3 linked regions of the Lytechinus pictus genome follow. The protein of the gene in region 1 purifies or fractionates together with the protein of each later gene. This does not show direct contact. Links are inferred from orthologs where the notes say so. Each region holds a gene or a part of one and is shown in the gene's direction. Other genes may lie near its edges. The genes, in order: tRNA-splicing endonuclease subunit Sen15-like, uncharacterized protein LOC129269308 and polyribonucleotide 5'-hydroxyl-kinase Clp1-like.

Region 1 (3,134 bases):
TGAGCGGTCACGAGCTCGAACTCGTGTGGGATGTAAACTCGCTGCTCCTTCTGCTCTGGGGTCCAGCGAGGTTTCCGAAAGGCAACTTGAATTCCCCTTCGTGGCCTTTTTGCGCGGGTGTAATTTGGCTTCGTTTTTGCCGTCGATGCATTTTCAGCCGTCTGTGACTCCTTTGGCACCCATTCACTGTATCTTGGTATACCAAGGCGATCGAGCTTCCGAGAAGTCCTGTCATTTCGTCGTTCTTTGATTATTGTGATCTCCTCATCCTGTGCACTAAGTCGAGACATCACACCATTATTAATCACAACCTTCTTCCCTTGCACAATTACCTTGTCTTGTAATTTGCATTTTGTAGCATAATTCTTAATCTTGGGATTAGTCTTCACTCGGTGCATTAAACATGTTTTCCTTTTTAATCTCACTGGATGGAACATGACACGTTCATACTCGTCAAAGTTAAATCCTGATTCATCATACCTGTTGTAACAGCCCTCACTTGGCTGCTCTTTCCCTTCCATAAAGGCAATTGCGTCATCCAAAAAGGAACGAATTGGGGCTGCCGATTGAACGCCCATGTTTTCACACAACCATGGAGCTGGTTGAAATTTCTTCCTTTTTTTCTCCTTCTTGTCACTGTCGATGTCAGTATCATTGTCTGAATTCGTTAGATTTGGTTTAGTCTGAGATTTATTTCTCCTACTGGATTTGCGAGCCAACACCACCGCTTTTTTGGCAGTAAGTTTTTCAGCACATTTCGAAGGTGGTTTCCCAGTGATGGCTTTGGGGAAACTTTCCACCTGTATTTCTCCTGCTTCAGCAACCATTCTCAATATTTTTTTCTCACTAGTAGAAGAAAAATCCTTTTCGAGAAGGCTTTATGCCTGTTTGGCTTGCAGCCGGTTGGAATACTGAATGCTGCTGTGAATATTGGTTTAACTTTATATATTCAGGAATTTGTCTTCCTTGTATTGCGACATCGGAGAGCAAGTGCAACTCTCCATGCATTTCTAAATTTAGAATGACACATGTCTGTGTTTACATCAACATGTGCATATTATTATATGACATCATCAATTCAGGCTCTGATTGGTCAAAGAGTTTGGCTAATTAACATAACAAGTGAAATCTCGCGGGAATCGAGAGCTATTGATATTGTGTGCGAGATATTTCGAGACCTACCACGGTCACTCCGAAAACCAAGAGGCAAGAACGAATAATGGATTCTGGTCAAAATTCCGGAACTACAGCTGTGACAGTTGACCGCTTTTCTTGGTTTTCAGATCATCCTAAGGTAACAAATCAGACAATACGTTTTATGAATCCGTACGTGCAACTATTCACTGGGGTTGTTGTATATTTCTCTGGTCGTGATAAAATTCACAACGTCAACAGCCCCACACCTTTCTTTCTATGTTAGTACGTACCGGTTAACCCAGGCCCATGGAGCTCTGGCACGCGAAGCGCACTCATTCAAGGTTGAACAAGGTTATGATATAACCTTGTTCTCAGTTATATCTCGATGTGTGGCAAAATAAGGATGGCAATGTTTGGCTTATTTTCTCTTTTTCTTTGGGACAAATGCTTTATTTTTTTACACTGACAGTTTCCATTACACCTATTCGTCATACAACTTGGGTCTTGGCCCTTAGTTAAAGGCCTTATTTCTTAAGTAGGCCTAAATTTGATTCTTTAAATTATTTTTTTCTTAAAGGAGAATGAAACCCAAAATGTAATACCACATAATATCATTGATAAGTAAATGATAATAAAAATGAATCCACTTATACCCAAATCCGATTTCCCAGAGTGGAGTACCACCTCTTCAAAGTTGGGCTTCTTCACGTTCAAAGTCTCTTGACTAAATGGAGATCGCCATTGTTGCGAGGTTCATTCAAAATCGTGACGTCAGCGACGTACAACTGCTCTCGGTACTAACTTCCATGTGCAGCTAGTCACAGGCTGAAACCAACCCCGAGTTTGCATAATATAGATACTTTTTTACAAGATATGAATATAATATACACATAAAACACTTTAAATAATTATCAAAAAGCTATTAAAATTATTTCATGGTTTAAAACACAAATTGATGAGTTTTGATGAAAATGTTTACACATGTATTTACGATATCCAAATTGGCAAATTTGACAAAGCTAAATTTGTTCGTAGACAGTGCAGCCACCCACTCATCACACGTATTGCGAGGTTAGTATATAGCTAGCACCGTGAACCGCATTTTTCAGTGGATTTCTATCTAGTGGATCGCGCGTGCTGGGATCTTCCTTCTGGTGTCCACAACACACGACTTCCATGGCTTGATTTTTCTGTGCGCGGCAGCATGTAATGAACACTTGAGTGCCGACCGCCGGCCCCTGAACCGAGTGATCGTGTTGACTTTTATGTTGGAAGTTTGGTTGTTTATCCCGTTTGAATATCGTTAAATTGTTAATTGTGCTATATTTCATTATATCTAACGTTGTTTATTATTTGTTACCATCGATTTAAGTATTATCGGACGTTTGTATTGAAATAGAACTTAGTTAGAAGGCCTGAGAGCCTACGACTTCGAGCCCCAATACTCGGCCGAAGAAATCAGTAAAATGCTCGCTACGAACAACATCATTCCTCTTGAATTTGGAAGAATTGTAGTTTTTTTCCACCTTTAGTGCAGCCAATCATTTTTAAAGAGATTTCTGGCCTCTTCTGCGGATCAGGAATTTGGCAAAAGCTGCATTTTGTGCCCCTTACTGACCTATTTTCGGCAGCCAGATCCACTCTGGCCCATGTATTTTATGCTAGCAATCAAAGGCGAGTGCCGAGGTCGGACACCGAGTTGTACGTCGCTGACGTCACAACCCCCCCACAGAGATATAGGGAGGATGAGCAAAATGGCGATCTCCACGGGTCTTTCAAAATCAAAATATTGATAAATTTGACTTGGCATATCATGGGAAATAGGAAACCGTTCTGCCTCATTTTAATTTTATTTTAATCAGTGAAATGTAATCAGTTTATGACCAGATAATAAATCTATCCTTTCATTTTCCTTTAATTAAAAATAGAGATAAAAAAATGCAAAATTTCTTGCCATATTATTTTCCACCAATAGAGGGCGTATACAAAAATATGCC
Region 2 (3,759 bases), on another chromosome or scaffold:
CCGGCCAGTCTCTTGACCTCTTTTCTTTTCTAACAACCTTTTTCTCTAATTTAGCGACATTCTCTTGCATCATGAATACCGACCCTATAAACGATATCTATGAAAAGTTAGCATTTGAACATATCGGTTTCCTAGCATAATGCCCCTCCCCCAACCGCCCCAATTATTGCGTAATAGAATAGAGAGACATTGGTAGCTTCCTTTGTTCGTGTTTATGTACTTGTATACCAACGAACGTAGAGGGCAGCAACACACAAGCGTGTTGCTATAAGGAAGGTCAACTCGATACGCGCATGCAGCTGAGCTGCGCGCGTATTTTATTGTTCATGCCAACGAAATCAAATGCCGATCCAATACAACAACAAATTAGTAGCGATAAAAAAACGAATATGAAAGAATATGACTACAACAATATCAAAGATAACTTTAAAAATATGTTGAGGAATATACATACATATAAAAACATACTTTGATATTTAAAACTTTACAAATATAAGTTTCAGGAAACTAAAATCATTACCAAATCGGTGATTGTTGTTATCAGCGATTTCACCAGACGGCTGTATTAGGTGATTTGCGTCGAGACGATTTTGTGACCACTCGCAAAGCATTTCGGGATTGAATATAACCACCTTATTTTCTCTGAGCTCTTCGCTGAACCCATCATCACAGTGCAGCTGCAGCGCAGCGCGCAGCCAATGCAATGCATCCGATGCATGGGTTGTTTTTTCGCCGTCCATGCCATGGTCTCGGACTCAGAGTTGAAATTTAGACCCGGATTTCGGGGATACAGCGCCTTTATTTCAGATTTATAGACTTAAAAGTCAAATGACATTTAAAATTTGAAATCTAACCTTGAACAATCATCGTTGATAAACATCAGCCCTGAAGCCATTACACTTCAAATCAGGCCAGGCAAATTAGACGTCATTGTCTAAGTTGCTAGATCTATGACGAGTCGCCTGAAGCCCCAGCGCATCATCAACGTCACTAGCTAGCTGCGCGACCGGGCCAGACTCGGCGCACCCAGGCCAGAAAAATGACCTCGATTATTACGGTGGTTGTCTAAGCATTTATTAGTGGTGCAGCGAAATTCAGCAGAAGAAAATAAGAGATATGAGGTATCCTCGTCACAGGCTTAATATTCCAAAATGAGGAAAAATGTCAAAATCATGATTATTTAAGCTAGATATTTTCTTTAAAAATAAAAGTAATATTTTTAATATTTATACCCAGAATGACCGATCTAATAATTGTTCATTAAAAAATATTTGAAATTAACAAATGAAAAAAAATCAACTCGACAAATTTCCCAAAACCCCACCTTATTTTTTAAAGTGGTCACAAAATTCGAGCGGAGTTGACCTTCCTTAGAGCAACACGCATGTGTGTTGCTGCCCTCTACGTTCGTTGTTGTATACTATACAAGGTCCAAATGCACGTGTACTGCCGTGTGACGACGACCAGTGACGCCGATCTGCATATATCTGCATTATCTGCCGAGTAAAAGGCGATGTGAGCGGCGCTCCCGCCGGCCGAAGCTAGGCGAGTGCAGCCGGCGCCCGGGCCTTAAATCAAGAGAGCGCGAGGGTACGGTACGGCCGCGTATCGTGAATGATTCAACTTCAAAACAATACGGAGGACCGGTACGGTACGCCTGGCCAAAAAAATTATTTAAAAAGTCCACAATTCACATGATTTATGGTAAGTTTACTTTATGTTTCGAAAATGCGTATATTATACCCTTTTCTTGATCTATCCCAAAAGCAGGATTTTTGTGCGTTATATTGCGTAGTCGTACTCGTAGTCGTAGATATGTAACAAAGTTAGAGAATTCTCAAATGGAGCTCACTATCGACTGAGTGTCGTGTGTATGCCAGCGCCCAGGCTCTACACAAAAACGACCATTACCATGTCAGCATGTGGAATTTCTTAAGCACACAAATTATGGGGGAAATCACGATTCCTTGATTATTTATACTTGATAGCTTGTGTAATTGGCAAGACTTCCATCATGTCCATATGTCCCCTCCACTAAAATTGAAAAAAAAAATATGGAGAAGGTTTATCAAGAATTATCTAACAACATATATCTGACTAAGAGATTTAAAGGACAAGTCCACCCCAACAAAAAGTTGATTTGAAAAAAAGGAGAAAAATCCAACAAGCAAAACACTGAAAATTTCATCAAAATCGGATGTAAAATAAGAAAGTTATGACATTTCTAAGTTTCGCTTAATTTCACAAAACAGTTATATGCACATCCTGGTCGGTATGCACATTGGCAGACTAATGACGTCACCCACTATTTCTTTTCTATTTTATTATATGAAATATGAAATATTCTAATTTTCTTCTCGTCAAGTGAAACAAAGTTTTATTTCTCACTGAACATGTGGAATTACCATTATTTTAACAGTTTATGGTTAAGTTAAGTTGGTCCTTATTGGCAAATCTGTAAAAATTGAAATATTGTATTATTCAAACAATAAAAAACAAAAGAAATAGTGAGTGATGGACATCATCGACTTTCTCATTTGCATATCGCTGAGTTGTGCATTGAACTGTTTTGTGAAAAATAAGCGTAACTTAAAAATGTCATAATTTTCATATTTTACATCCGATTTCGATGAAACTTGCAGCGTTATGTTTGTTTGATTTTTCTCTATCGAATCAAATCAAATATTTTCTGGGGTGGACTTGGCCTTTAAGAAGGAAAAGTTGGATACATACCAAAATATGGCTTTATTCCGTCAAAAATTCGAGTGTGTGTAATTCCCGATATCATTGGTATATTTAGTCAGAAAAATAAATGCCCAATACTCTTGGAGAGTAGACTAGTCGTAATATCGGTTGAAACCGTTTGCTTTCAACAATTTCTGTGGCTAGCTCAGTGAGTAAGGCGAGAGACTGGAGATTCATCGTTCTGCAACGAGAGGTTCGAATCCAAGTTCCAACCGGAAGTAAGAAGAAAAAAAAGAAGAAAAAGAGAATGAGAGAAGAGGGTTTTGGAGAAGTATTTTTAAAAATTAGTGGAGGGGACATAAGGAAGTCTTTCGTGTTCACACCTTATTTGAGCAGTGTTTCTATTTTGAACTTGGAGACATGGCTGGCCCTCATTTTTAGACTTAGGTTGAGCTGTTTGAGTGTGATGCCTGAAATGGATGGCTTGTGTTGTGAGCTGGGACTTGGGAGTGACATGAGTGAGGTCTACGTTCGTTATCTGTTGATCTTGACTGGTATGATTAAAAGTAAAATATAGGCCTAAGACAAGTCCTCTATTATCACCTAAACTAGTAGGGAGTACGGTGATTTTTTAAAATCTTGAAGGAATCCCAACAAATTTGATATCGTTGGAAAAATTGTGAAATAAGAAAAATAATGGTGCTTCAATCTACTCATTGTCTGATATATTGACGGAGATATTCCAATTTACAGGGAAAAATATGCAGACTTTGTTCTGTCAAAAAAAATGATAAAAGCTTGTTTGAGTGGGGAGACAGTGGCTTTTTGAAATCTTGAAGCCTTTTGAAGGAATCCCAACAAATTTGGTACTATTTGAAAGCTTGTGGTATAAAAAGAATGGTGCTTAAAATCAACTCATGATGTCAAATATTGACAGAGATATTTCTGTTTAAATGGGAGAATGTGCAGATTTTTTTACAGCAAAAGTTGATTTTCATAACTTACACAAAATGCAATGACTGGGACTGTGTAATCCTTCTTTTTAAAGTGCAATGCGCTGCTATGTGGGGCAAT
Region 3 (3,759 bases), on another chromosome or scaffold:
TCTCAAATGTTTCTACTTTTGATTATTTTAAAGATATTGAAGGTGATTCATCAGTTGAATCAGAGATGGGGTTATGGGGGGTTGTCATGTTCCCCACTCCCATGGAGTAATCATGTAGATCATCCAAACCAGCTCATCATATTCATCTTGCTACCTCCTTAGAGGTAACAGGAAAGGATTAATCCTAACTGATGATACTGTATTTAAAGTTGGATTCTGGTATGTACAATTCATGAGTACCTTCCTGGTACAGTTAGTAATTATTTATCCAGTCAAATATTTGTCTGCCTTCATGATTATTTTTTACTTTTAGGAGCTTGATTGAAAAGAATGTAGTTTACTTCAAGTAATCTGTGAATGATTTGACTATATATTGATTCGGGGTGTATTTTTTTTTGAAAAACAGGTAAAATTTGTAAGTTTGTCCATACCCCTTCATGCCCTGATGAATATTCATTCCAGCAAATTGAATATGCATGAGTTTTTATTGTAGACTTTGATTTCAGTCAATTTGTCAATAAGTTATGTTCCTAGTTCTTTCAGTTAAATTTAATAATCTGCTTTATGTCATGAAGTCCACTCTTACATGTATATTTATTTGCATTCACATTTGTACAAGTATTAATTAATGAGTTAATCCCCGCAAGCATACACATGACAAATTCTGTCAGCCAAGGTTGTTATTTAAAAAGTGTGCATGGGGAGACTATTCTTTGCCTTGTGGATTGACATGTGCTTTTTGTGTGTACAATGTACATTGCATATCGCATGCTGCCCCCTGCACATAACAATACAATGCACATAGCATGGAGCTATAGCTCTATGCACAGAGCATGTGTTTGTGTATAGTGTGTGTTCCCTGTGCAATTTACATGTAGCTGTAATGTGTGTATTCTAGTGAACAGCTGCAGGGGTACCCTGCATAAATTTACTACGAACCATGAGCCAGTAGGTCCATGATCAGCTGTACAAAATATATTGCATACTATACTGCATTCAGCTCAATTCATTTTCCTGAATGTAGTAGCTGCATGATTGCTTGTCATTGGGTGTAATACTCTGTTATAATTCCATATGGAACCCCCTGAAGAAATACCCGTTGAAATTAATGTTAATGCGAAAGATTGCTCAAATTGGGAAGAGTTAAAAGCTCAGGCCAGTCTAGGAGAAGAGGTAAGAATTTAATTGTCAAATTAAAATTTTACAAATTTGTGATAAAATATAGGCCTACATGTTTTTACAATTAATTACAGTGTAGTTATGATTTGATATCATATTTTTTTGGTATAAATGTATGTACAGTGTATTTCTTAATCTGTTTGTTGCAGTTGTACAGTATACATATACGGTACATCATGACTTCAACATCGTCAGGTATATATTTTAAGTTATTTTTTATTTTCTTAGATTAGAATTATGAATATGGAAATATAATTTTATATCTTTCCTGTCAATTGTGCACCTGATGGGGGGGGGGGGGAGAAGGGGTGCACTCAACTATGTTGCTGTAAACACGCTCAACCATGTTCTTTTTTTCGATCATTACGCTTAATTCTTGTGTGACACTTTGAGGATCTACATAGTACATGTAAGGATGTCAGAAAATGAATTTTTGTCAAGTAAAAATAAATGTTTTGGGGGTTATACTTGTTCGGGGGGTGGGGGCAAAATTGTCGAAGAAGCACACAAAAATACTTGAATAGGGTATGAATTTGACCACGGATAAAACTTGTGGGTTTGTACTTTGTAAAACTTGTACTGTATGTATGTAGTTGAGCCGTTCTGGAGACCCCCATTTTAATTTAAGACCAAGGTTTAGTTCCAGAGCCCCCTATTTTCGACTTTGTTACATCTAGGTATCATGTTATAATTCCAGTACATGTACCCCCTCCCCCCCCCCTCTGGTGCACTTGTGCATGGCAATGCAGTCTCCCCCCCCCCTCCCCGATTGCACACCACAAGGGCTTGCATACTCAAAAATCTATCTGTTTAGATGAACTTTTTTTCACTTATTTCTTTTTTTTTTTACAAGTACAGTGGAACAATCGAAAAATATAGAGACTGGTCAACCTGAAGCTTTTGGCTTTAAATAAATTGCCCCTGAACAAAGACACACACACACATTTCTATATTTCTTTTCTTTGCTTTTAAAAGTTAAGCTAACTGAATTCTTCTTTGTGAGTATTTCCTTTTTCATTTACATTTTCTTTTGAGAATAAAAATTCATATTGGACTCTCTTTTCTCATATGTTTTTCTCTATTTAAGAGCTGAAAAAAAAGCTAAAATTTAAATATTGGATTCATCCTTAAAATTAATTTCTTCATCTATGGAATTTGATTTCTACTTTTTTATTGTAATGTTTTGCGTGAATTCCACAAAGTTGTTCATGTCCATCTTGATCATTTCAATATAATGAAAAAAAATTGAAAATTCCTTTTGCTCTTTCACAAAAAAAATGTGCAAATAAACAATGTACATGTACATGAATGAGGATCCTCTTTAAAGGACAAGTCCACTCCAACAAAAAGTTGATTTGAATAAAAAGAGAAAAATCCAACAAACAACACTGAAAATTTCATCAAAATCGGGTGTAAAATAAGAAAGTTATGACATTTTAAAGTTTCGCCTAATTTCACAAAACAGTTATATGCACATCCTGGTCTGTATGCAAATGAGGAGACTGATGACGTCATCCACTCACTATTTCTCCTGTATTTTATTATATGAAATATTCTAATTTTTTCCTCATTGCCAAGTGAAACAACGATTAATTCCTCCCTGAACATGTGGAATTAACATTGTTTGATAATATATGGTTCAGTCAAGTTGATCCTTATTGTCAAATTTGTAAAAAATGAAATATTGTATAATTAAAACAATTAAAAAAAAAGAAATAGTGAGTGAGGGACATCATCGACTATCTCATCTGCATGTCACTCAGTTGTGTATATCACTGTTTTGTGAAAAATATTTGGAACTTTAAAATGTCATAACTTTCTTATTTTACATCCGATTTTGATGAAATTTTCAATGTTGTGCTAGTTTGATTTTTCTCTATTTATTCAAATCAACATTTTTCTGGGGTGGACTTGACCTTTAAAAAACAAAGCTTGTAAAAGCTAGGTTCCCACTGATGACGGAATTAGTAAGAGTAAATAATTCTTATTATTTCAATCACATTAAGATCAGGTAAGCATGCAGAGAGGTGATTAGCAACATGCCTTGCTGTCATTTATTTTCCTTAATAGCAAGTCATCATACAGACTCACAAAATGCTCCGAGTCACATTGCTCTCCGCATGAATCTTGACGATGATGCCGTAACGCCTAATTGCTGGGGATAAGGCTGGATTACTGGTAAAAGTTCAATTTGTGAATAATTTCTCTTTTTACATCATGATGGGGAAAATGTTATGTCATATCTTATGTTTGCAAGTCGCATAGTGCTTATGTTTTTATAATCATGCCAACAATGACATGATTAAGAAAACCTTGAAATTATTTTTCTGAAGCGTACATGATACAATCTGTTTGGGCTCAAAATAGTGAGATTAGATAATGCTGGATTACTGATAAGAGTTCAATTTTGTGAACCCCTCTTCTTACATCATGCAAGTGAAAATATTATGTCATATTCGTGTCCATGTTTTTTATAGTCTTCAATTGGATATATTTGGTAAAATCAACTCTTGTCAGCGATGGCATATATAACTGATGAATACTTTTTGTAGGTCATGCATATTTGTCTCCAAGTGTTGA

What was found.
Region 2: the proteins of tRNA-splicing endonuclease subunit Sen15-like (region 1) and uncharacterized protein LOC129269308 purify together in Homo sapiens (affinity purification with mass spectrometry; 4 studies listed by BioGRID and IntAct, counting the BioPlex papers as one, with this or other methods). This does not show direct contact. The link is inferred for Lytechinus pictus from reciprocal best matches to the Homo sapiens genes TSEN15 and TSEN54.
Region 3: the proteins of tRNA-splicing endonuclease subunit Sen15-like (region 1) and polyribonucleotide 5'-hydroxyl-kinase Clp1-like purify together in Homo sapiens (affinity purification with mass spectrometry; 4 studies listed by BioGRID and IntAct, counting the BioPlex papers as one, with this or other methods). This does not show direct contact. The link is inferred for Lytechinus pictus from reciprocal best matches to the Homo sapiens genes TSEN15 and CLP1.

Annotation. Positions count from the first base shown.
Region 1 is NC_087259.1:12,404,464-12,407,597, reverse strand, and holds the start of tRNA-splicing endonuclease subunit Sen15-like, read left to right. Parts: upstream 1-827; 5' UTR 828-1,219; coding exon 1,220-1,294; intron 1,295-3,134. Other genes in the region: uncharacterized protein LOC129277298, read right to left, coding at 1-827. UniProt on the Homo sapiens protein: Non-catalytic subunit of the tRNA-splicing endonuclease complex, a complex responsible for identification and cleavage of the splice sites in pre-tRNA. It cleaves pre-tRNA at the 5' and 3' splice sites to release the intron.
Region 2 is NC_087254.1:22,852,537-22,856,295, reverse strand, and holds the start of uncharacterized protein LOC129269308, read left to right. Parts: upstream 1-1,422; 5' UTR 1,423-1,704; intron 1,705-3,300; exon of another isoform or gene 3,301-3,759.
Region 3 is NC_087257.1:17,667,554-17,671,312, forward strand, and holds the start of polyribonucleotide 5'-hydroxyl-kinase Clp1-like, read left to right. Parts: upstream 1-814; 5' UTR 815-1,074; coding exon 1,075-1,173; intron 1,174-3,247; exon of another isoform or gene 3,248-3,357; intron 3,358-3,759. UniProt on the Homo sapiens protein: Polynucleotide kinase that can phosphorylate the 5'-hydroxyl groups of double-stranded RNA (dsRNA), single-stranded RNA (ssRNA), double-stranded DNA (dsDNA) and double-stranded DNA:RNA hybrids. dsRNA is phosphorylated more efficiently than dsDNA, and the RNA component of a DNA:RNA hybrid is phosphorylated more efficiently than the DNA component.